Linked DNA regions of Arabidopsis thaliana. The protein of the gene in region 1 interacts with the protein of each later gene in a pairwise test. Each region holds a gene or a part of one and is shown on either strand. Other genes may lie near its edges.

Region 1 (7,409 bases):
TTGGGACAATTAAATGACACAAAGATTTTAGAAAAAAAACCATTACAAATATATGCACAAACCATTGTTGCTTTTTTAAAAAATAGTCCACTTTTTAAATGATTTAATGAAGTGAGTGGATATAAGAGTTCGTAAAAGAGCTGTCTCCACGTGACGTGATTCTTTTTTATTTCTTCACGTTCTTTCCACATTTCTATCTTTCAATATCGATGGTTACATTCTCAATAATGATTAATGACCATTATAATTTTTCTTTATCAACTTTAATGGAGTTATTATGTGAAACAGTGTAAGCCCCATTCTTATGTATATATGTAAATATCACATTATAAATTATGATCTATCGACAGAGAACGACAAAATTGCCAACCAATCACTAAGTTAGAAAATTAAATTTATTGTAATAACGCATCTCTTTTTTTTTTTTTAAACATATAGTTTTTATATTATTAATATTTGAATTTGTCGTTTGAGAAATGACGAAGGAGTTATTTTCAGGCGTAAGCATTTGACGTGCTCGACGTTAAGGAGATGACGTGTTAAGTTATGGTACATATGTTTTTTTCTCTTTTATTTGGGTCATAGCCGCGTTCAACACGTGCTTTTTGTCAAATGTAATTACATGATTAAACTAAAAAAACTTATTACTGTTTTTCAATCAACTTATTAACCTTGATCTTTTTTATAACAAAATAAAAATAAAAATTGGCACATGATCAAATCATCAATCTCAAATAAGATAAAACCAAAGGTGTAATAAGGTTCATTTTTTTGTGGAGAAACCGAGTCAATGCTACCAAATTGCCTATATAGGCTTGAATTTTATGTAAATGCTTTTTTGAATGGAATAATCCGATTTTTTATTTTATTTTTTCTTATGTAAAATTATAACATGGTATAGATAAAAAATTTGTTTTGTAATAAGTGATATTTGGTCTAACGGCGCGTATGTATAGTTCTTTTACAAAAGTGAGTAATAGTGGTTTTCTGGTTCAAATACTATTGAGAATGGTATCAGTTTTGATGGACAACAAGTGTATGAGACTCGGCTATAACTTCTCAATTAACCATTAACCATTAAAGAATACAAAATTTGGATTTTCGACTATACTTTGGTTCGGATACATCATACATGCATGCACACCATAACAACTAAACTCAAAAGGATTTGTTTTTGAACTTTTGATGATAAGAAAAAGAAAAAAAAGATGGGACATAAGAGTCATGTACACGTGGATAAGGAAAGGAGAAGAGAGGGACAAGGGAAGAGATGGAGAAAGAGAGACGTAAGTATTAATTCAATTGTGTGCCCTATTAGCTTTCATTTTCCACAAGCAAGAATAATATTAATAATTATGTATCATCTTTGCATTTTTGTACCAATACATGATACATTTGTTAGGCACACGTCTTTTTCCTTTTTCCTCCTTTTTATTTCTAACTTTCTTCCTTTTATTCGTTTAATCCGGCTCTATCACGTTAACACACATATATGTTATATCATCTTTTTACAAACATGTTTACATTAGTTATTAGAAAATACATATACTTGTAATAGTGACATTGGTAAGAAGAACTCTATCACCTTCACAATCACACACATATATGTTATATAATCTTTTTACAAACATGTTTACATTAGTTATTAGAAAATACATATACTTGTAAATAGTGACATTGGTAAGAAGAAAAAAACACTATTAAATAGTGAAAAAATGTTTATAACTCTCTTAATTAACATTACTTATTATTGCTAGCACCTAAAATCTCCCACAAAATATTTGTTGTAAAACACAAATTTACAAAATGATTTTGTTTTTAAATTAGTAACACATGTTCATATATACGTTAATAAGAACATACCCTATATGATTTTATATAAAAAAATTTCTTTGAGACGTCTTATCCTTTTTTCTTTAATAATATGCAATTGTGAGAGTTTGGATTTGAATGGTAGCATTAGAAGCAAACTTGAACCAAACATATTTCATGAAGTCAAACTTGAACCAATGTAATCACTAATCACAGTGTTCGCAGTGTAAGGCATCAGAAAATAGAAGAAGGGACATAGCTATGAATCATATAATCTTGACACATGTTTTATAGGTTTTAGGTGTGTATGCTAACAAAAAATGAGACAGCTTTCTTCTAATAGACTTAATATTTGGGCTAAATGTACCACAGTTGTGAATTTCTTACAAAAATGGGCCGAGCTACAAAAAACTACAGGCCCACTCTCAACTCTTATCAAACGACACCGTTTTACTTTTTTAAAAGCACACACTTTTTGTTTGGTGTCGGTGACGGTGAGTTTCGTCCGCTCTTCCTTTAAATTGAAGCAACGGTTTTGATCCGATCAAATCCAACGGTGCTGATTACACAAAGCCCGAGACGAAAACGTTGACTATTAAGTTAGGTTTTAATCTCATCCGTTAATCTACAAATCAACGGTTCCCTGTAAAACGAATCTTCCTTCCTTCTTCACTTCCGCGTCTTCTCTCTCAATCACCTCAAAAAAATCGATTTCATCAAAATATTCACCCGCCCGAATTTGACTCTCCGATCATCGTCTCCGAATCTAGATCGACGAGATCAAAACCCTAGAAATCTAAATCGGAATGAGAAATTGATTTTGATACGAATTAGGGATCTGTGTGTTGAGGACGATGAGTGACTCGGTGTCGATCTCGGTTCCGTATAGGAATTTGAGGAAGGAAATTGAACTTGAGACGGTCACCAAGCATCGTCAAAACGAATCTGGTTCTTCGTCGTTCTCTGAATCTGCTTCTCCTTCGAATCATTCTGATTCGGCTGATGGTGAATCTGTGTCGAAGAATTGTAGTTTAGTGACGTTGGTTCTTAGTTGTACAGTTGCCGCTGGAGTTCAATTTGGTTGGGCATTGCAACTTTCTCTTCTTACTCCTTATATTCAGGTACTTACTATTACTCTTGTCATTGTTACCATTTCTATCACTTGTGGCTTTCTCTATAGCAATTTAGATTCGAGGGTTTTGTTCTTGTGTAGCTTTGTACGAGAAAGTCGAGTACTTTGTAGGTGAATCAATGAATTCTAATACTTAGGTTAGGTAGTTGTTGTCACCAACATAGCCATGAGATATTTTCGTATGGAACTCTATAGCATTGGCTTATCGAAGAGTATATGACATTGGAATTTAGCTAGATTGTTTATGTTCATTGGATTACATAAGCATTTGTAAAAATATAAAAGACCTTAGCCTTTTTCGGAACTATTGTATAATCAGAGATTAGACTGTGTTTAGAATAGTATTGTACTGGTCATATATGTATCAGGTGGGTAGTTATGGTGGTAGATAGAACTATTGTTAAATATCTGTTTGCTGGAAGTATTTTGATTTTCTTGTTGCTGAAGAACCCTTTTGAGTTTTATCTAACAGTGTTGCATTTGGTTGGTTGATGCAGACCCTTGGAATATCGCATGCTTTTTCTTCGTTTATTTGGCTGTGCGGCCCAATTACAGGCCTTGTGGTAGGTTAAAAGTTTCTTTAAGAATTTTAGCAGTTTTACTATCTTGCACGTAATGATCTCACGAGAGTTCAAGTTTTGATTTATATTGGATCAGAAACTATTTTTCTGCCCCATTTTGTTCATACTTATTTGTTTGTTGGGTTTTAGGTCCAGCCTTTTGTTGGCATTTGGAGTGATAAATGTACTTCAAAGTATGGAAGAAGACGACCATTTATTCTAGTTGGATCATTCATGATCTCAATAGCAGTAAGTGCCAATAGAAGATATGATTTCTGTTTTGATTTTCTTTTAGGAGATAGCTGGCTACATTGTGTTTTATATAAGCTAAACAAAAGCTTGCAATTTAGGTGATAATAATCGGATTTTCTGCAGACATTGGGTATCTGTTAGGAGATTCAAAGGAACATTGCAGGTAACTCTCCTGCTCCCCTGCCAATGGCATGTTTTTTATGGAATGTATCAAAATTAAAGTAACTGACGACTTGATGTGTATCTTGAAATGCAGTACTTTCAAAGGCACACGAACCAGGGCAGCTGTTGTCTTTATCATTGGGTTTTGGTTGTTGGATCTAGCAAACAATACAGTACAGGTTCAGATCTGCCTCTGCAATGTACTTGAGTGAATGGTACTAGTCATTACCTCTGTATCCAGGAATGATGTTTTCGGCTTTTTTATTTTCAGGGACCTGCTCGTGCTCTTCTAGCTGATCTATCAGGTAATAATGGAATATAACCATACACTTAACAGAACAGAATTTCTATTCAAACTCTAGAATCAGATTGAATATGCTGTGCTTCTAATGAGATGTCTCTTGCTGTCCCTAGGTCCTGATCAGCGGAATACTGCAAATGCTGTGTTCTGCTTGTGGATGGCTATTGGGAACATCCTTGGGTTTTCTGCCGGTGCTAGCGGAAAATGGCAAGAGTAATCTTTGAGATCCTTATTCTCAAAATCTTGTATTCTTTTTCCTCATTTGCAATTTTGCATTTTCCGCCAGCTGTTAAATGATCAGGCAATTTTACTGCGCAGATGGTTCCCTTTTTTAACTAGTAGAGCATGTTGTGCTGCATGTGGAAATCTCAAAGCAGCGTTTCTTCTTGCAGTGGTAAGCAGTATGTTTAATTTTCTGACACATGCATCTTACTAAGCTTTCTAAATTGCAATGGAATGGGCTGGTCTTTACGAAACACTCTCACGTTTGTACATTGTGACTTGTGATTCATATATGTCGCAAATCAATGCGTTCTGTTTGTATGTCTATATTATTTTTGAGGTGATTTTGAAAGTGAAATTATATTATTGCACCCAGTGGCTTTTGTTCTTGTTTCATAGTCTAAAATCTGAATATATTGTTCTATATGTTTTAAGAGTTTAAATCATTTTTTCAGGTCTTTCTCACTATATGTACTCTTGTCACAATCTATTTTGCTAAAGAGATTCCTTTTACAAGCAACAAGCCCACCCGCATACAAGATTCTGCACCTTTGTTGGATGATCTCCAGTCCAAAGGCCTTGAGCATTCAAAATTAAATAATGGTACTGCCAATGGAATCAAGTATGAGAGAGTGGAACGTGATACGGATGAACAGTTTGGCAATTCAGAGAATGAGCATCAAGATGAGACCTACGTTGATGGCCCTGGATCTGTTTTAGTGAATTTGCTAACTAGTTTAAGGCATTTGCCACCGGCTATGCACTCAGTTCTTATCGTCATGGCTCTTACATGGGTGAGTGCCAAAGAAAAATTATGATCAGTTATTACATATTTCACACTGTTTCTTTTCTTAAACTCTTTAATGATCTTTAAAATTATTTGCTTCTGTTATATTTTTGATTGTGGTCTTGTTCTTTGCAGTTATCCTGGTTCCCCTTCTTTCTGTTCGATACAGATTGGATGGGAAGAGAAGTTTACCATGGGGATCCAACAGGAGATAGTTTGCATATGGAACTCTATGATCAAGGTGTACGTGAAGGTGCACTTGGTTTGCTACTAAACTCTGTAAGAATCGTTATAATAACCTGTTTTTTAACTGCACTGCTCTTCAAAATTCAATTACTCGCCCGTTATTGAATATTCTTCTTCCCTGTTTCCGTAGGTTGTTCTTGGGATCAGCTCATTTCTCATTGAACCAATGTGTCAGCGGATGGGTGCTCGGGTTGTATGGGCTTTGAGCAATTTTACTGTATTTGCCTGCATGGCGGGAACAGCTGTAATCAGCTTGATGTCTCTCAGTGATGACAAAAATGGAATTGAATACATAATGCGTGGAAACGAAACAACAAGAACCGCAGCCGTAATCGTTTTTGCACTCCTTGGTTTTCCCCTAGCTGTATGTGCTTTCTTTCAACCGTAATTCTCTTTATTCTTTTCGTGTTGCAACATTTCTCTAAAATATGTGATAAAACCATTCTTTAATGCAGATCACATACAGTGTCCCTTTCTCTGTCACAGCAGAAGTCACTGCTGATTCCGGTGGCGGTCAAGGTCTGTGAAAAGATTCATATCTTCACTATATTCATAGTTTTTGTACTTAAATCTTAGATTTCAGTAATCCCTAATGGTTTCATTTCCTCACTCCAGGTTTGGCTATAGGAGTGTTGAATCTCGCAATCGTTATTCCCCAGGCAATCTCTCAAATCTAATTACACTGATAAATTTCATTCTCTTGTATAATGCCACTCACTTCGAGTGTAGTCTTGACCCGTAAATAGTGTCTGAATATGGTTTTGGCTCTAAACAGATGATAGTATCACTTGGAGCGGGTCCATGGGATCAATTGTTTGGAGGAGGAAACTTACCGGCGTTTGTTTTGGCGTCTGTTGCTGCTTTCGCTGCTGGAGTTATTGCATTGCAAAGGCTTCCCACGCTATCGAGTTCTTTCAAGTCCACCGGTTTCCACATCGGCTAAAATCTTTATACCACAGACATAAAATTCACAGTTAGATCTACCCGATTCTTTTTGACCACGTTCTCCTCTCGGCGTATATGTAAGTAGGTTTTGTACATCTAGTTTTCTTATATGTTATACACAGCAATGTGACTCTAAATTTACAGTACCTCTCTTCTCACGTAGAATATATCTTCGTTATTTTGAATCACTTTATATTTGTGTGTTCCTTTCCTCACAAATAGAAACTTGAAGCAACATATTCCAAACTCAATAGTCCAATCTAATAACACAATACTGTTGGTTCTTTAACCTATGATGTGTACGTTTTCCCAACATTACCATACTAATATAACAAAGCATTTCAATAAGAACACAAATTCAAACCTATTTTCGCCTATAAACTATGTACTAAAATCATAACCAAACTATATCTCCAATAGAAACAATGTGTCCATAAATAATAAATGCTCATATATCGTGGGTTGTTGATGACATAGTCTTTGTCCACAAGTTCCTTATTTAGTTGATATAAGCATTTTCAAAACAAAGAAACAAAATTCAACTTAGTGTAACAATGTCAAAACCAAACTCTTATCTTCAATAATGAGACAAAAGAAACCGAAGTTAAGTCTATAATCAATTTCTACATAGACAATGTGGCCAAAAATAATAAATGAACATATATCATGGGTTGTTGAGACACCCAATTTAATAAAATAAAAACATTGAATGTCTTATTTTCTTCTTCTTTAAAAACCCTTTGTACATTTACTCTTCAATTCATCCTCATTTACTCTCTATAGTTTCTCTCTCTTTCTCTAAACTTTCACCTAAGATCGATCAATGGCCAAGGGAAGAGGCAGTGCATCATGGTCGGCTCGAGCCATAGTGACTCTCATGGCTGTGTCAGTGTTGTTGCTTCAAGCTGACTACGTTCAAGCTGCAACGTACACGGTCGGTGACTCTGGTATCTGGACCTTTAACGCTGTGGGTTGGCCTAAAGGCAAACA
Region 2 (4,807 bases), on another chromosome or scaffold:
ACAAAAAAAAAATACAAAAAATCAGAAGATCTAAATAAAAAACTAGAGATGAAATCTATGGTTCATGTGATGTGATCTGATGTTTCCTACTTGGACCTCTCCTGGTACAAAAATACACAATCTTGATGTCAAAATCTCAAATAATTTAGTTTTTTTTGTGTGTGAAAAGATTGGAAAATATTTGATCGTGTACTTACTTGTTCTGTATGGGGCTATAGCGACTCCTCGGGATTTTCCGTAAGCTATCTCCTTCACCTCCAAGAGACTTCTGCTTCATCTCTTTGCTTATTTGCAAATCTCTCAAATCTCTATGTCCCTCTATGTGAAACTTGCTGCTAAAGAAAGCTAACAAAACCAGAAACAGAGCTATTGAGATCGATCTTGATGGATGGAATCTCTTCATTTGTGAATTCTCTTTTAGGTCTTGAGAAAACTTTTAGGTAGAAATATGATGAGTTAAAGTCTTAAAGAGAAGGAGATAGAGAAAGACAACTTGTAAAGCTTGTTGGCTTTGTAAGATATGTATGTATTGTCCTGCGACTTTTTTTGAGATCTGATCACGTGAATTAATTTTTCTTCTCCGAATCATTTATTTCAGATGCTGAGATATTTTTTTTATCTTAATCAACTAATTTATGGAACATTCACTGATGTTGAGAGTGTCCTCACTTTCATACAAGCACATGTATACACGTTTATTTATGTGTTTACCAATATTAGTAAATCCAACTTCATGAGATCTCAAAAGTTGCAGGTAAAACATTAACAGGCTGTGTTTTGTCTCTATGCTAATTGCTAAGGCATCAACATTATTTTCATTCATTTTTATTTTTGTTTTCCTAACAAGCTTTATAGGGACGACTGGACGAGCGAGAAGAAGACAGTCAAATATTTGGGACTTGAGTCACTTGCATGGGAAAATTGCAAAACAAAATTTTCATATATTTGAGAGTTTGAGTTTTACGTACTAGAGAAAGTTTTATAAAATTTAAGATCTTCTTCTAATCAAACATATTTTTAACAATGTAAACTAATACAAATTTTCAATAATTATTTGCATTAAAATCGGAAACTAATAAATAATAAAAAGAATATATCTTTGTCAAATTGTTTTAGGTGAAGCTACTACTACTATACCTTGGAACTTTTTCATTAGCATGGGCTGCGTTTCTTTTACAACTGGCACAATTTTGAAAAAGTGAAACTTATATATATATATATATATATATATATATATACTTTTTTTTTTATATCCACTTTTTATGAGAACGTTATGATGTAAACAAAAGAACTTTAAAATATACACACCTAAAAATCGTATTTAAGCTAAATCTTGCTGGAGTAATAACTATGTTAATCAAACCATTATATGGACAGCTTGTTTGATCAATCTTTGACCATGATAGTGTCAATCCCCCAATGATCCCGTAGAGGCTAATTAGCAATTCCTTAATTTTTTATCGTTCGGATTTATTTATTTTTGTTCAAATTACCGGTCGAATTGTTTTTCTTTTCTGAGCTCATATTTAGTGTTTTTAGTGTTTTTGAACTCAAATTACCGGCCGGATTTTTTAGTGTTTTTAGAATTAGCTCATAAATCTGAACTCATATTTAGTGTTTTTCTTTTCTTTTAAATTCAAAAGACATTTTATTTTATGAGAATACTAAAAACCATACAATGTACATATGATATCCCTTTTTTTTTATAAAGGAAAATAACCATGAAAAAATAGAAAATACAAAAGATGGTTTTATGGGAGATTTGCCATTTATGAAAAGGGAGAAACCATTGTGATTACTAGAAACAAAAAAAATATCGTGATTTTTAGAACATTTTTTTTCTTTGATTAATTTGTTACATTTCTTGTGTTTGTTTACAAAACCGAATTGTAAACAGAACCAGCCAAGCGCGTCTGCTTAATTGGGATTTGTTCCCGGTTTAAGTAAACCAACTCCTTGCTATTCTTTTTTAATCCCTCGCAGAATTTCTCATCCGATTTTCACAAACTTTCCTCGGATCTGGTCACGAATTGCTTTGTGTAACAAATTCAAATTCCAAACCCAAGCAAGCCTCCATTGAACTGGTACACGGATAAATTTTTTCTAAAGCTTTTCTTAGATTTCTCTCAATGCGATTTTGTTGAATTTCTTGGTTTCAGTCGATCGAATCAAATGAATTGCCGATTAGATGTTTTCTTAACATAATTTCTAGGATTTTGATCGAATTGCTGGTTCGTGATCGAGTGATTTGTCTGGATTAGATTTTAAGTTTTATGCAAATCTTGTTGAAAGGTGCTTAACTTTTGATTCAAGTTTTACTTAAGAGCCAAATTATAGGTCAATGTCATGTAGATTACTATTAATTCTTGAGTAAACTGGTTTAAATATGTTTTTGTATATATGTTCCAGATTAGAAGTTGATATTGATATAATTCAGCAAAGAGAAGAAGATTCTGCGGTGTTCTTGGTCACTTTGTGGTTTGTATAATGGCGTCTGGGACAGTGGGAGGGTTGTCTGAGGTATATAGTAGTGCAAAAAGGATTCTACTAAGAGCTCGGAATGGAATCGAGAAGTTGGAGAGGTTCGACTCTGATCCTACCGACCTCGCCTCCTCCGTGAAACGAGACATTACCGAGGTTCAATCTCTTTGTTCCAATATGGACGGTCTCTGGCGTTCGATCCCTGTCAAATCCCAGCGTGATCTTTGGAGAAGGTGAGGAAGTTTAGATCATCAAAATAGCTGAAGTAGTGGTTAAACTCTTGAGCATTTGGATTTTTTTTGCTGTAGGAAGAGTGAACAAGTAGGAGAAGAGGCTGAGTATTTGAACCAAAGTCTAGAGAAGTACATGTGGAGGAATCAGAGGAAGATGTTGGAAGCTAAAGAGAGAGCGGATTTGTTAGGTAGAGGGAGTGGAGAAGGAGCTCACATTTTGCAAATATTTGATGAGGAGGCTCAAGGAATGAACTCTGTTAAGAATTCAAAGAGAATGCTTGAAGATTCGTTTCAAAGTGGAGTTGCTATTCTCTCTAAATATGCTGAACAAAGGGATCGTTTGAAGGTAACCAAACCCTAACTTAAGCTTTAAGTCAATGAAGAAAACAGTTTTTTAACATTGGGTTTTTGAATTCTCAGAGTGCGCAGAGGAAGGCTTTGGATGTTCTGAACACTGTTGGGCTCTCTAACTCTGTATTGAGGCTCATTGAGAGGCGTAATCGTGTTGATACCTGGATTAAATATGCGGGTATGATCGCAACGCTTGTCATATTGTATCTCTTCATAAGATGGACACGCTAGAACCAGAGAACTTTAATTACATTACCATAGATTGTATGGAGAGAGTTTTGTAACACGTTTTTTTGTTTTGTTTATACCTCTTACAAGACATTTTCAAAACACTAGTACACATATTCTCCATTTCATTTGCGTCTAGTATGCTCTCGATTTATGCCAACTTTTCTTCCCCAACTTTTGATGTGTTCCTCCTATATCCGAGAATGATGTATTGCTCGCAGTGTAAGAGAACTTGTTCAAAACTTCTCCGAGACTGCAATCGTTGTTTAACACAGAAGCTACTACATTTGTTTGGGTCATTGCTTCGGCGACTAACATGAGCTTCAAGACAGTTCATATTTAAAGTGATTCGAAACAGTTGACTTTAGCATCATTGTATTAATGGTCAATGTTTTTTTTTGACCAAAATAGTCAATTCCCCAAAGGTCTGATTATGACAAATACCGAACCGGGATAGGATAATTATAATTAAATACAGAACCGACTCAACTGGAATAATTTTGATCCGGTTAAAGGAAAACCAATCTCCTTTTGATATTTCGACACTCTCTCTTTCCTCTCTCCTTGTCTCTGTACCGCGTCGAAATATGAGAAACGAATGATTTGATCATCAATCAACGAGAAACACACACGGAGAAAGAGAATCTCAAATTAGCTCCAGCTCCTGATCGATTCCGATTTTCACAATTCTTTCCTTGGATCTGCTCTTACCTTGTCACGATTTCACTTCCCTGTGTTTTTGATTTATACTTGGTCATCCAATAACGAAACTTTGATCAAACTGGTACGCCGATTATTTTCTTTCTTTCTTCTGATTTTCTTAGATTTCATTAACTTGATTGACTCAAAATCAATAGGGATCTTTAGGGAATATTCTTTGATATGTTTTGGAATTTTATCTGATTGCAAAATATTTGTGTGTATGTTTGTTTTGTTTAATTGGAATTTTAAGTTTTTTTTTTTGTTTTCATCACAATTTCATGGGTTTAGGCAATTTTGTTGAACGGTGATCTTTTTTTGTGTGTGTGTATCAATTTGTCAATTTGTATTTAGAACAGATACTTTAAGAAGTGTTGCTTCTCTATATGTGACTTGAGATTGTAGTAATAGCTTAACTATACGGCAATGTCATGGAGTAGATTATACATGCTTGTTCATGTCAGTTTTCCAGATGTATGACTTAAGCAGGATGGTTTCTTTATCGAAGATGACCTTAATTTGGTTTATGTTACTGTCATTCATTTCATACTTAAAGGTTGGATTATATTTTCTACAGTTTACAATTCGTTGTTTTGGTTGACAGGAACTACAGTTTATTGGAACTCCCTGAAGCATTTAGATGGCAGAAAAAGCTTGTATAAAGCGTCTTCAAAAAGAATACAGAGCGCTTTGCAAGGTATTATTTTCTTCTTATTCTGTTCCCATCCTTGATTTGTCTGTCACTGGTATCATTCTACCCATTCGATTTTCATTTTTTTTTTTATCAAATGTGGTTTCTTTGCTCTATGCTAGTT
Region 3 (5,055 bases), on another chromosome or scaffold:
ACGAGTAAAGAAATCTAACTCCTACTTCGATATTCAATTTGTTCATGGTCTATCACGTTATATACAATATTGATCGACAAGGCAATGAAACAAGAAAAAAAAAAAAAAAAACTCACGTTCGATCAAGATATCGGTTAACATTCAATGCAAGGGTCGAAAACCAAACCAACCAATTTTCAGTCTGGTTTGGGTATGGGATTGGTTTGGTTAAATTCACACTGATCCTCCTAGAAAATATATTCATTGTAGTAACAGAGGAAATGTAAATTCTGCGTTTTCATTCATTTCAATTGGCTAATGGACATGGCAAAGTGCTCACCATCAATAGTTCACAAGAAAAAATCCTTCACAGCACGAAACCAATCAACTTTTTTGGCCAACATGGGGCTGAAGACACTTGCCGGAATTTCATGAGAGTTCATCATGCCACTATCTTGAATCTTCTTATCAGCTGAAGCAATCATGCATTACCTTGGATGGATTTTTCAAATTGCTGGAGCTGCGAAATGAAACCGGGATTAGGATATGCCTGATGTCGTCGGCTCCTTACAAGTTCCATAGCTTTAGAGAATCCCATTCCATGCTTTTTCATCAGGTAAGCCACCACTATAGTCACACTTCAAAGAAAAACTCAAACCAATCAAATTGTGTAAGTATATATATAACAGAACGACACAATAAGCAAATTACAGGTTCAAGAAAAACTCTTAATTTGTCCACAACAAAATGTAATCTGTTCACTACCATAACTCCTACTAATACCAGAATCAGCAAGCTATAAAAGAATCAAAGCAAACTACAAGATTCATATACACTTTTGCCAATCTGAGTCTCTGTAGTTTCCTATGGTTACTCAGTTGGCAATTTATATACACTTTTTTGATATGGTTACATAATTTGCAATTGGTTCACATTGATGATTCTTAAACACTAAATCTAATAACTGAATGTATGAGATTTAAGGGCAAAAGAATCAAAACCTCCTAGACATTCCCATGAAGCAATGAACCAAAACACCACCACCAGATTGAATAGCTTGGTCGATGAAGCTATAACACTCATCGAAATATACTGTCAAATCGGTCTCGGATCTATCAACCACTACACGATGAAGAACAAGTTTATAAAATCTCTAAACGAAAAATTTCAAAAACAGGCTAAGGATTGAAGAAAAAAAACCCAACCTTCAATGACTTTGTAGACAAAATCATCAGGATAAGGAGGAGCCAAGGCCACAGCAACGGTTAAGACATGAGTGATATTAGAGCTTTTGAGAAAATCCTTGTTATTCGCTTCAGCTACTGATCCTATGAACAATCCCTGAGAATAAACTCATCCAACAAACGATTTTTCGGAATTAAAGACTCCAAAACCTGAGAAATTCCAAGTGTGAAATTAGACGGATAGATAGAGAAGAGAAACGAAGAAAACCTGTTGGATCTCGCTGAGATCTTTGCCTCCTTCGAGTAGCTTCTGGGAATTAGCTTCTCCGACTCCGAAGAGATCAACCACTTTCTCCATCGCTCTCTGCTTCTTTTTTCAAAATTCCACTTGTACAGACGAAAACTCTTAATCAGAAAGATAAATAACCCTAGATTCGTAATTAATATTTAATAGTTTAGTTCGGATAGATGAATCAATAAGCACCAGTGGTCTAGTGGTAGAATAGAACCCTGCCACGGTACAGACCCGGGTTCGATTCCCGGCTGGTGCAACAATTTGTTTGTTTTTTTAAGTGAAAAGATTTAAGAGAGTCAACCTTTTTACACATGAAATGAAGATGATTAAAATAAATAGATGACTTAGAAATCACCAAATTAACATTAAGAAATATTGGTAGGTAGGAAGTGAAAATTGAACACAAGAAAAGTGTTGAGCACCCTCTTCTCCTTTCAGACTGCTTAACCAAAGGAATATAGCAGCACTCTACTAATTCTTCTTTTTGTTGAAATAAAATAATTACTCTTTAATTTCCATCTTCTTTGCGTTTTTCTCTCTATCTCTCTTTTTTTGTTCCATTAGATCATTCATAAAGCGGATCAAGCCACCTTGATTGTGACTTTCCTCAGTTCTTGATCACTATATCTTGAAGGAATTAAGAAGATGAATGGTGAGGCACGGTCAAGAGTAGTCGACCAAGAAGCTGGCTCAACTCCATCTACTTTGAGAGATGAAGATCATCCCTCGAGACAAAGGCTTTTCGGATGTCTCCCTTATGATATAGATCTCAATCCCCTACGCATTGTAAGCTTCATATATACACAAAATCATAGAATCAACAAGATTAATATCTCACAATACTTTTGTGTTAAACTAAAGAATTGGCTATGTCCATAATTACAAATAATTTTTTTGAAAATATTAAAATGTTTGTATAGAAATAAAATGCTAATTAATAGTATCTCCGGACTAATGTTTAGGTAATGGCGGAATTGGTGGGGACATTCATTCTAATGTTCAGTGTGTGTGGGGTCATAAGCAGTACCCAATTATCCGGCGGCCACGTGGGATTGCTAGAGTACGCCGTCACCGCTGGATTATCTGTGGTGGTCGTAGTTTACTCCATCGGACACATCTCTGGCGCCCATCTTAACCCTTCCATCACCATTGCTTTCGCTGTCTTTGGCGGATTCCCGTGGTCTCAGGTATAATGCATCCATCTCAACACGGCGTTTGACCAACTAAGAATTGTAGTTGAATTATCTTGGTCTTGATCGTTTGTTTTTGTTTATCTTAGCGTTTAGACCAAGATCAAATAATGTGTTTTTTTCATTTATCAACGAAGATGAGACGAGAAAACTTAATCTTTTGTTTGGACGTTTACAAATTATTTTTTATGAAAACTGAAAATTCTTTTTTGGAATGTTGTGTCACATGCCAGGTTCCGTTGTATATAACGGCGCAAACATTGGGGGCAACGGCGGCAACATTAGTTGGGGTGTCAGTGTACGGAGTAAACGCTGACATTATGGCAACAAAACCTGCTTTAAGCTGCGTTTCTGCATTTTTCGTTGAACTCATAGCTACGAGCATCGTCGTGTTTCTCGCCTCCGCGTTGCATTGTGGTCCTCATCAAAATGTAAGTGACCAAATCGATCTTCGTTACTCCTCTAGTCCGCTTGTTATAAAAAAATATCTTCTAATAAGAATAACACCTAAAATGTGACATTTACATGCTATTTCTTAATTATGAAATTTTATTTCTTTCCAAAGAGAAAATAAAAAAAATCAAACTCTCTGATTAGAAAACTTATATGCATTTAATTTTATATGTTATTTTGTGCAGTTGGGTAATTTGACGGGGTTCGTGATTGGAACAGTCATTTCCCTTGGAGTGCTTATTACCGGGTACTTAACTTAAAACTCCATTATCACCGTAAAGTATTGGAAAATAGTTATTTCATGTGATCGTATAATGCTAACGTTTTGTGGAATATGGTATGGTTAGACCGATTTCAGGAGGATCGATGAACCCAGCTCGATCACTTGGACCGGCGGTGGTGGCATGGGATTTTGAAGACTTATGGATTTACATGACAGCTCCGGTGATCGGAGCCATAATCGGAGTTTTGACATACAGATCAATTAGCCTAAAAACCAGGCCTTGCCCTTCTCCAGTTTCCCCTTCCGTTTCTTCACTTTTACGTTAATCACTTCAAAACCTAATATCTATTATACAAATAAACACTTTTGATTTTTTTTCTTGGTTAAGGTTTTTAAGTTTTTGTCATTACGTCATTAGATGCCGTGATGCGAAAACAGAGAGCTACTTATCGGATTGAAGATATAGAGGGTAAAGCAAATGAAAACAGGGGGCATTTTGTTCTTTTTACACAATGAAATGAACGCAATTAAAAATCTTTAGTCACATATATTTTATAGTGAAGCGAAATTCGTATGAATATTCAAATCCTTTCATTAGGTTATAAGAACCCACTAAAATACTCATATTACTAAACGATACCAACAAACATAAATTAGAGAAATGAAATTAAATATCTTAAATTATTACCCCAACTAAAAATTTAGTGGCCACAACCTCTACGACTTGGACCAGAAGCTAACTTTCGACCTGACCACAAATTCGCCTTCTTCTTCTTCTCCTCGTAGTTTCCAAACTCATTTCTTGAATCTTCTCCGACTACATTCATTCTCGTTGCCTTCTCTGCAACCCTGTTACAACCATGGTAACTAGCCATGGCAATGGAACAAGTTAAGTAAGCGACCAAGAGAAACACAACTTTAAGAAGCTTCTTCATCTTCATGTTCTTAGTGTCGACTACTACTTAAACTATAGATTCTCAACATTGATTCGTATTCGTGTATATATGCATGTTTATAGATTTTTGGTCTTTTGTTCTATGAGAGCTAATGCATAATTAGTTAAACGGTTCAAATGTTTATTGACTGAGTGAGTAAACAGTCTACGAATAGTAAGGTTTAGGTTGCTACTTTGTATTTAATGCTATTTCAGAACTTCTAATTTAAGAATTAAAGTAAATTTCATTAAATCATGATATGTCTGAGTCTGGTTGCGGTCTTGCAGAAATTTAAACCATGTGTTTTAGATCAAATATGATTCATTCCAACTAAATGTATTCAGATTTAGATGGTGCTCTCGAGAAATTGTTCGATCATTAGAAGAAACTAAATCATTTAGATGCGAGGATACTCACTAACTTGAGACTTGAGTAAAAGTGTTCTAAATTTTCCTTTTGAAAAGTACCAGAAGATTGTATATTATAATCTTTTTTGTCAAAATCGCAAATTCTAAAGCAAACCTTTAAAGTTGTTGATTTCGTAATGCAAAACTCAAACGCAATTGCAAGCACTTTAATTGATCAAATCAAAGCTGAACAACGAGATCCGTTTGCTACGTTGTCACTACTTTTAAAGTTCAAGCAAGTCAATACAAGAAGAAAAAAGTTAACAGAAATTTTTGATTAAGCAAAGTATTTACGATGCTCTCTGCATATATTATATAAAGCACATTAAAATCGAATATATATTTGAGCTTGACCATTACGCAATATATTCTCACTAGCTTTCTTTCTT
Region 4 (5,586 bases), 510 kb from region 1:
TTTTTTATTATATACAAATCAAATTTAAGGAAATAACTCAATAATAAGATATTTTAACTTTAAATTCCTAATTTTATTATATCCATATAAAATCAATTTCTTTTTATTGTTTTAAATTCTTAAAGAAAATATTTCTTTATCTTCCATTTACATAAAGTATTGTTGGTCAATTGGTAACTCGATAGCGACATAACGTTTTCAGTACATTTATCAGATTTTATATAACTTGTTTTTTCTTTTGAACCGACATTATGAGATCTTTAGTCAAGTTGGAGGATTTTCCATTGAAAATCATCTTATATCATAAGCTTTAAAAATTTTAATTGTGAAGGTTTAAATCATATGTTTGTAATACATGCATTTCCATTTCACCCCAAAAAAAAGGTAATATTGAATATATTAAGTTTTAATTTATAATAAAACATATCAATTTCACACAAAAAGAGCCAAAATATAGTGCATTGAAAACTTTTAATCAAGTAAAATGTCTTCATTAAACATATCATAATTTGTAAACATCAAAATTATTACTTCTAATAATTTCTATCGATATATTAACAATTATAAAAAAATATTATATATAATTTAATGTTAATATCATTCTATATTCAAAACTAAAACCAAATATACAATTCACGCATCGTTTGGATAACTTTCTAGTATATATATATATATATTAGAATGAAAAAGTCTTGTAGAGCATTAGACCACTAATAATTAAAAAAATTTATAATTATATTGCATTTTTTAATACAATTAGACCCACTAATAAAACTACAAGTATTAAAGGTTCACCCGACTCTCAAATTTGAACCTAATACTAAATTATACCTCTCTCTCTTTTCTTACTTTTTAATATTTAGTTTTTAATGGTCAAAACCCTTTTTTTGTGCAAAAGATAATTTCATTCAAACTTAACCCATATGTAGTACAAATTTTAAACAAACATCAACCTCATGGTTGGAAACATCAAAGAAAACCACAAGTTCTCTCACAAGAGAATGGTAAAGGAAAATGATATAAGATAATTTGACGGTAGATCCATACATCGAAGACAAGAACAATGTAGTAACTTGCTACAAGCGAGAGAATGGTGAGTCGAAGACAATTACACGAATATTTTGGGAGATTGTTGAATGGTCACGGTCCAAACGAGACATAGTGACGTTGATAAAGAGTCTTTAACCTTGGATAACAATGGCTCGAAACACGCAGCTTCTACAAAGGTGATTAAGGTATCCAAATGGTTTTGCAAACTTAAAGTCGGAGACAAACCAAAAGTTCGTTCTATAAAAGAGGATGATTCAAAAGTTCTCTCTATAAAAGAGGATGATTCTATCATAAAATTCTTAGACTTATATGAATAGTATGAGCTGCTCTTTAAGGCACTAAGATCTACCACCAAGGTTAATAAAAGCACCTTGTCTAGACTATCTATAGGTGTCAACGTGATGAGAGAAAGGAGTCCACGACCAATCTCAAAACCATAACCCTGCCATCAGATATCTAGTGTTTGACAAGGAAGAAAGAAAAACAGACCTGGACCAAATTGGTAAATAGGCCTACCCATTAGCATTAGCTTTAGGCCGTGGTAAATTTATTAGTGGGCCAAAGGCTGCCCAGCCCAATTCGAAATGGGGATCCAAACAAACAGCGGTTTTGCCCTCTTTAGAATGCCGCTTTTGTGAAATTGTGAGAACCCTTGTTAAAAAAACTCGCGATGAAGTTGCTCTCAAATACTTTAATGGCTCACGGTAAGGATGCTGTTGTTGTGAGTCACGTGTTTGCACTGTGTAGTTGCTATTTAAAACAAATTCTTTTTGTTCAAAATTATTTTTTTTGATAAATTGTCAATCTCTGAATATTAGAACTTGATTCCCAAGTAATCTTTTTCGAGTTGTTTTGTTGTTTAGTCATTGATTATACGAACTTGGTCCCCAAGTATATTTCTTGTTCATGCACTTCCTTATTATCCTATTGGATGACTGTTGACCACAACGTCCACTAAAGAGAAGAAACTATACAACGTCATTGCGAAAAACTACTATACTTTTATACTTTAACGTGTAGACATAATAATATACTTTTTTGAGTATCTTCGGTGGAAAATATAGAATACCTTTTACTGGTTGAGCTAAGAGTCGTGTAAATTCAATATTCTAGTCCCACAAATTTCCAAAAAGAAAAGTCTAAACATTGGTTTTCGTTGTCTGTCTATAAAAGATAAGAAGAATAACATCAGAGATTATACGCACACGGCTTTCAACATTAGGAAGGACAACAATGGAAGAGCCCTTTCTTCTGCAAGATGAGCACCTTGTCCCCTGTAAAGACACATGGAAAAGTGGTCAGGTTACCGTCGAGCTGAAGAAAGTGAGCAGCTTGGCCGCTCCTATGGCCGCCGTGACCATTGCTCAGTACTTATTGCCTGTCATTTCAGTCATGGTCGCTGGCCACAATGGTGAGCTCCAGCTCTCCGGCGTCGCTCTTGCAACCTCCTTCACAAACGTTTCCGGGTTCAGTATTTTGGTAATGATATGCTATAACTACTCTCTCCTCTTAAGTTCAAGATCAAGTTGCCTCTCAAATCTTGATAACACTATATTAATTCTTTGTGCAGTTTGGGTTAGCGGGTGCACTAGAAACTCTTTGTGGCCAAGCTTATGGAGCCAAACAATACGAAAAAATCGGAACCTACACATACTCTGCAACTGCCTCTAACATCCCTATATGTGTCCTCATATCAGTTCTCTGGATTTACATCGAAAAGCTCTTAATCTCTCTCGGTCAAGACCCTGACATCTCTAGAGTCGCTGGCTCCTATGCCTTGTGGCTCATACCGGCTTTGTTCGCCCATGCGTTTTTCATCCCACTGACTCGGTTTCTGCTAGCACAAGGGTTGGTTCTTCCACTGCTCTACTGTACCCTGACCACTCTTTTGTTCCACATCCCTGTTTGCTGGGCTTTTGTTTACGCGTTTGGTCTGGGAAGCAATGGAGCTGCCATGGCTATTAGTGTGTCTTTCTGGTTCTATGTTGTGATTCTCTCATGTTATGTGAGGTACTCCAGCTCCTGCGACAAGACTCGCGTATTTGTATCCAGTGATTTCGTGTCTTGTATCAAGCAGTTCTTCCACTTCGGAGTCCCATCAGCGGCAATGGTTTGGTAAGTCGTTTTTAAGTTTCTTGTTGGTCAAGTTACATACAACAACCAATGCTTTTTTTTATCTTGCTTGCGTTTTCTTGGTCTTCCTTTAATAGCCTAGAATGGTGGCTATTTGAGCTACTCATACTCTGTTCAGGTCTTCTCCCAAACCCGAAACTCGAGACCTCTGTTCTTTCAATTTGGTAAATATATATCATATAACGACTTCTTTTTATTTTTATTATCCTCTTTACTAAAAACTAATGAATCTTATTTCTTTAATGCAAGTCTTACAACAGCAAGTTTGCACTATGTGATTCCAGGTGGAGTCGCGGCGGCTGTGAGGTATGAACTCAAATTTTTAACCAAACATATTCAACATCTTCTTCCTAAACAATAATAGTCATTTGGTTTCTTGCAGCACACGCGTGTCAAACAAATTGGGAGCTGGGATTCCTCAAGTTGCTAGGGTTTCAGTATTGGCAGGGCTTTGTCTCTGGCTTGTAGAGTCAGCTTTCTTTAGCACACTTCTCTTCACATGCCGAAACATTATAGGCTACGCATTCAGCAACAGCAAAGAAGTTGTGGACTATGTGGCTAACCTAACTCCTTTGCTCTGCCTCTCCTTTATCCTCGACGGTTTCACAGCAGTTCTGAATGGGGTTGCAAGGGGAAGTGGTTGGCAACACATTGGAGCTTTGAACAACGTGGTAGCTTATTATCTTGTAGGAGCTCCTGTTGGAGTATACTTAGCTTTCAATCGTGAGTTGAACGGAAAAGGACTTTGGTGTGGTGTTGTGGTCGGATCCGCTGTGCAAGCCATAATATTGGCTTTTGTCACAGCTTCCATAAATTGGAAGGAACAGGTAAAACACTTAGAATAGAAGATTCGTCATTTTAGCATGTTATACTTGTACATTCTTTTTTGTTCTTTCTTTAATACTATGAAGTAATTTTAATCTATGATTTGCAGGCTGAGAAGGCTAGGAAGAGAATGGTCTCTAGTGAAAATAGATTGGCTTAAACTAAGGATGTTTCTGAGAGCTATCTCAAACTATTTTTGTAGGTGTTGAGCAAATTTTTATGTATGGTATATTAATGTGTTAAAAAATGTTCTTACAAAATAATTTATATGTATGATTTTTTCTCAGCCTATCTTTTTCACTATGTTGTGTAACTTGTAAGTGTATAATCATCATTTATCCATAAACATGCTTTTCTTAATTTTTTCACATGTCATTCCCAATAAATTTATTTTATGGTATTTGTGACTATAACCACAATCTTCTACCAATAAATCTTAGTGAACCCTTTCCGAGAGAGCTTTTAGGCTCATAATACAATACTATTCAGATTTTGAAACTCGGACCTTCACGACAAATCTCTGACGAAACTTTGGATTCTACTTGAGAGCGGCTGTCACTTTTAGTTTCAACCACAAATGATTTACTAAAACCTGTGTAAAATCAGATCCAAATGTCTTTAAAGTGGTCTAAAGAATCAAAACTTAAGGTAAGCAAATTACTTAAATTAGAGTCAAACTTTAGGACTATATAAAAATATAAAAATCCACAAAAGTAATTAATACAAGATTGAATGTTCAAACTCTACAAAACAAAATAATTCATATTAGTCTTCAGTCTTCACATATGTTCTTATGTAAATAATTAAAAAGTATTAACACTAATGACATGTCATTTTTAATATGTATATTCTATATATCTATTTTTATAATATAGTATATTCGTGTGCCACTAGTATCTATATTTTCAAACAAGTCAAAACGAATTTGCTTCTTTACTCATCATATCTACTTCGTCACCACGTTTGTAGTTCAAGTTGCCTTTGTTGTTTATTGACTTAGTCGGTCTATAAAGATAGGATAAATATCATCTTAAAATCAAAGGGAAAGGCCTTCAACGTTAAACAATGGAGGAGCCATTTCTTCTGAGAGACGAGCTTCTAGTCCCTTCTCAAGTCACATGGCATACAAATCCATTAACCGTCGAGCTAAAGAGAGTGAGCCGCTTGGCCGCTCCTATGGCCACTGTGACCATTGCTCAGTACTTATTGCCTGTCATCTCGGTCATGGTCGCTGGCCACAACGGCGAGCTCCAGCTCTCCGGTGTCGCTCTTGCAAACTCCTTCACAAACGTCACCGGTTTTAGCATTATGGTAATTATGCTATGACTCTAACCTTTTCAACTCAAGAATCAAATGGACTCTCTCAAGTATTGAAAACACTTCAATTATTTTTGTGCAGTGTGGATTAGTGGGTGCACTTGAAACTCTTTGTGGCCAAGCTTATGGAGCCAAACAATATGAAAAAATCGGAACTTACGCATACTCTGCTATTGCTTCCAACATACCAATTTGTTTCCTCATATCAATTCTCTGGCTTTACATCGAAAAGATCTTGATTTCTCTCGGACAAGACCCTGA

Evidence for each region.
Region 2: the proteins of SUT2 (region 1) and MEMB12 interact in a protein complementation assay, tested with the Arabidopsis thaliana proteins (one large-scale study listed by BioGRID).
Region 3: the proteins of SUT2 (region 1) and NIP7;1 interact in a protein complementation assay, tested with the Arabidopsis thaliana proteins (one large-scale study listed by BioGRID).
Region 4: the proteins of SUT2 (region 1) and AT2G04050 interact in a protein complementation assay, tested with the Arabidopsis thaliana proteins (one large-scale study listed by BioGRID).

The regions. Positions count from the first base shown.
Region 1 is NC_003071.7:827,554-834,962, reverse strand, and holds SUT2 (sucrose transporter 2), read left to right. Parts: upstream 1-2,343; 5' UTR 2,344-2,666; coding exon 2,667-2,933; intron 2,934-3,441; coding exon 3,442-3,507; intron 3,508-3,654; coding exon 3,655-3,753; intron 3,754-3,854; coding exon 3,855-3,919; intron 3,920-4,012; coding exon 4,013-4,097; intron 4,098-4,189; coding exon 4,190-4,223; intron 4,224-4,332; coding exon 4,333-4,432; intron 4,433-4,537; coding exon 4,538-4,613; intron 4,614-4,896; coding exon 4,897-5,235; intron 5,236-5,363; coding exon 5,364-5,507; intron 5,508-5,604; coding exon 5,605-5,838; intron 5,839-5,929; coding exon 5,930-5,993; intron 5,994-6,089; coding exon 6,090-6,133; intron 6,134-6,249; coding exon 6,250-6,417; 3' UTR 6,418-6,684; downstream 6,685-7,409. Other genes in the region: ARPN (plantacyanin), read left to right, coding at 7,243-7,409. UniProt on the Arabidopsis thaliana protein: Responsible for the transport of sucrose into the cell, with the concomitant uptake of protons (symport system). Can also transport maltose at a lesser rate. May also transport biotin.
Region 2 is NC_003076.8:20,536,133-20,540,939, reverse strand, and holds MEMB12 (membrin 12), read left to right. Parts: upstream 1-1,943; 5' UTR 1,944-2,084; intron 2,085-2,380; exon of another isoform or gene 2,381-2,409; 5' UTR 2,410-2,487; coding exon 2,488-2,714; intron 2,715-2,789; coding exon 2,790-3,060; intron 3,061-3,134; coding exon 3,135-3,296; 3' UTR 3,297-3,514; downstream 3,515-4,807. Other genes in the region: AT5G50443 (uncharacterized protein), read right to left, coding at 56-101, 198-403; UBC33 (ubiquitin-conjugating enzyme 33), read left to right, coding at 4,633-4,689. UniProt on the Arabidopsis thaliana protein: Involved in transport of proteins from the cis/medial-Golgi to the trans-Golgi network.
Region 3 is NC_003074.8:1,839,983-1,845,037, reverse strand, and holds NIP7;1 (NOD26-like intrinsic protein 7;1), read left to right. Parts: upstream 1-1,841; 5' UTR 1,842-2,103; coding exon 2,104-2,244; intron 2,245-2,326; exon of another isoform or gene 2,327-2,420; coding exon 2,421-2,645; intron 2,646-2,742; exon of another isoform or gene 2,743-2,758; coding exon of another isoform or gene 2,759-2,881; coding exon 2,882-3,079; intron 3,080-3,286; coding exon 3,287-3,348; intron 3,349-3,448; coding exon 3,449-3,650; 3' UTR 3,651-3,870; downstream 3,871-5,055. Other genes in the region: MKP2 (MAPK phosphatase 2), read right to left, coding at 461-617, 981-1,101, 1,185-1,320, 1,432-1,521; AT3G06090 (uncharacterized protein), read right to left, coding at 4,026-4,265. UniProt on the Arabidopsis thaliana protein: Aquaporins facilitate the transport of water and small neutral solutes across cell membranes.
Region 4 is NC_003071.7:1,335,968-1,341,553, reverse strand, and holds AT2G04050 (MATE efflux family protein), read left to right. Parts: upstream 1-2,085; 5' UTR 2,086-2,283; coding exon 2,284-2,529; intron 2,530-2,620; coding exon 2,621-3,165; intron 3,166-3,260; coding exon 3,261-3,347; intron 3,348-3,432; coding exon 3,433-3,489; intron 3,490-3,565; coding exon 3,566-4,010; intron 4,011-4,117; coding exon 4,118-4,168; 3' UTR 4,169-4,374; downstream 4,375-5,586. Other genes in the region: DTX1 (MATE efflux family protein), read left to right, coding at 5,074-5,319, 5,408-5,586.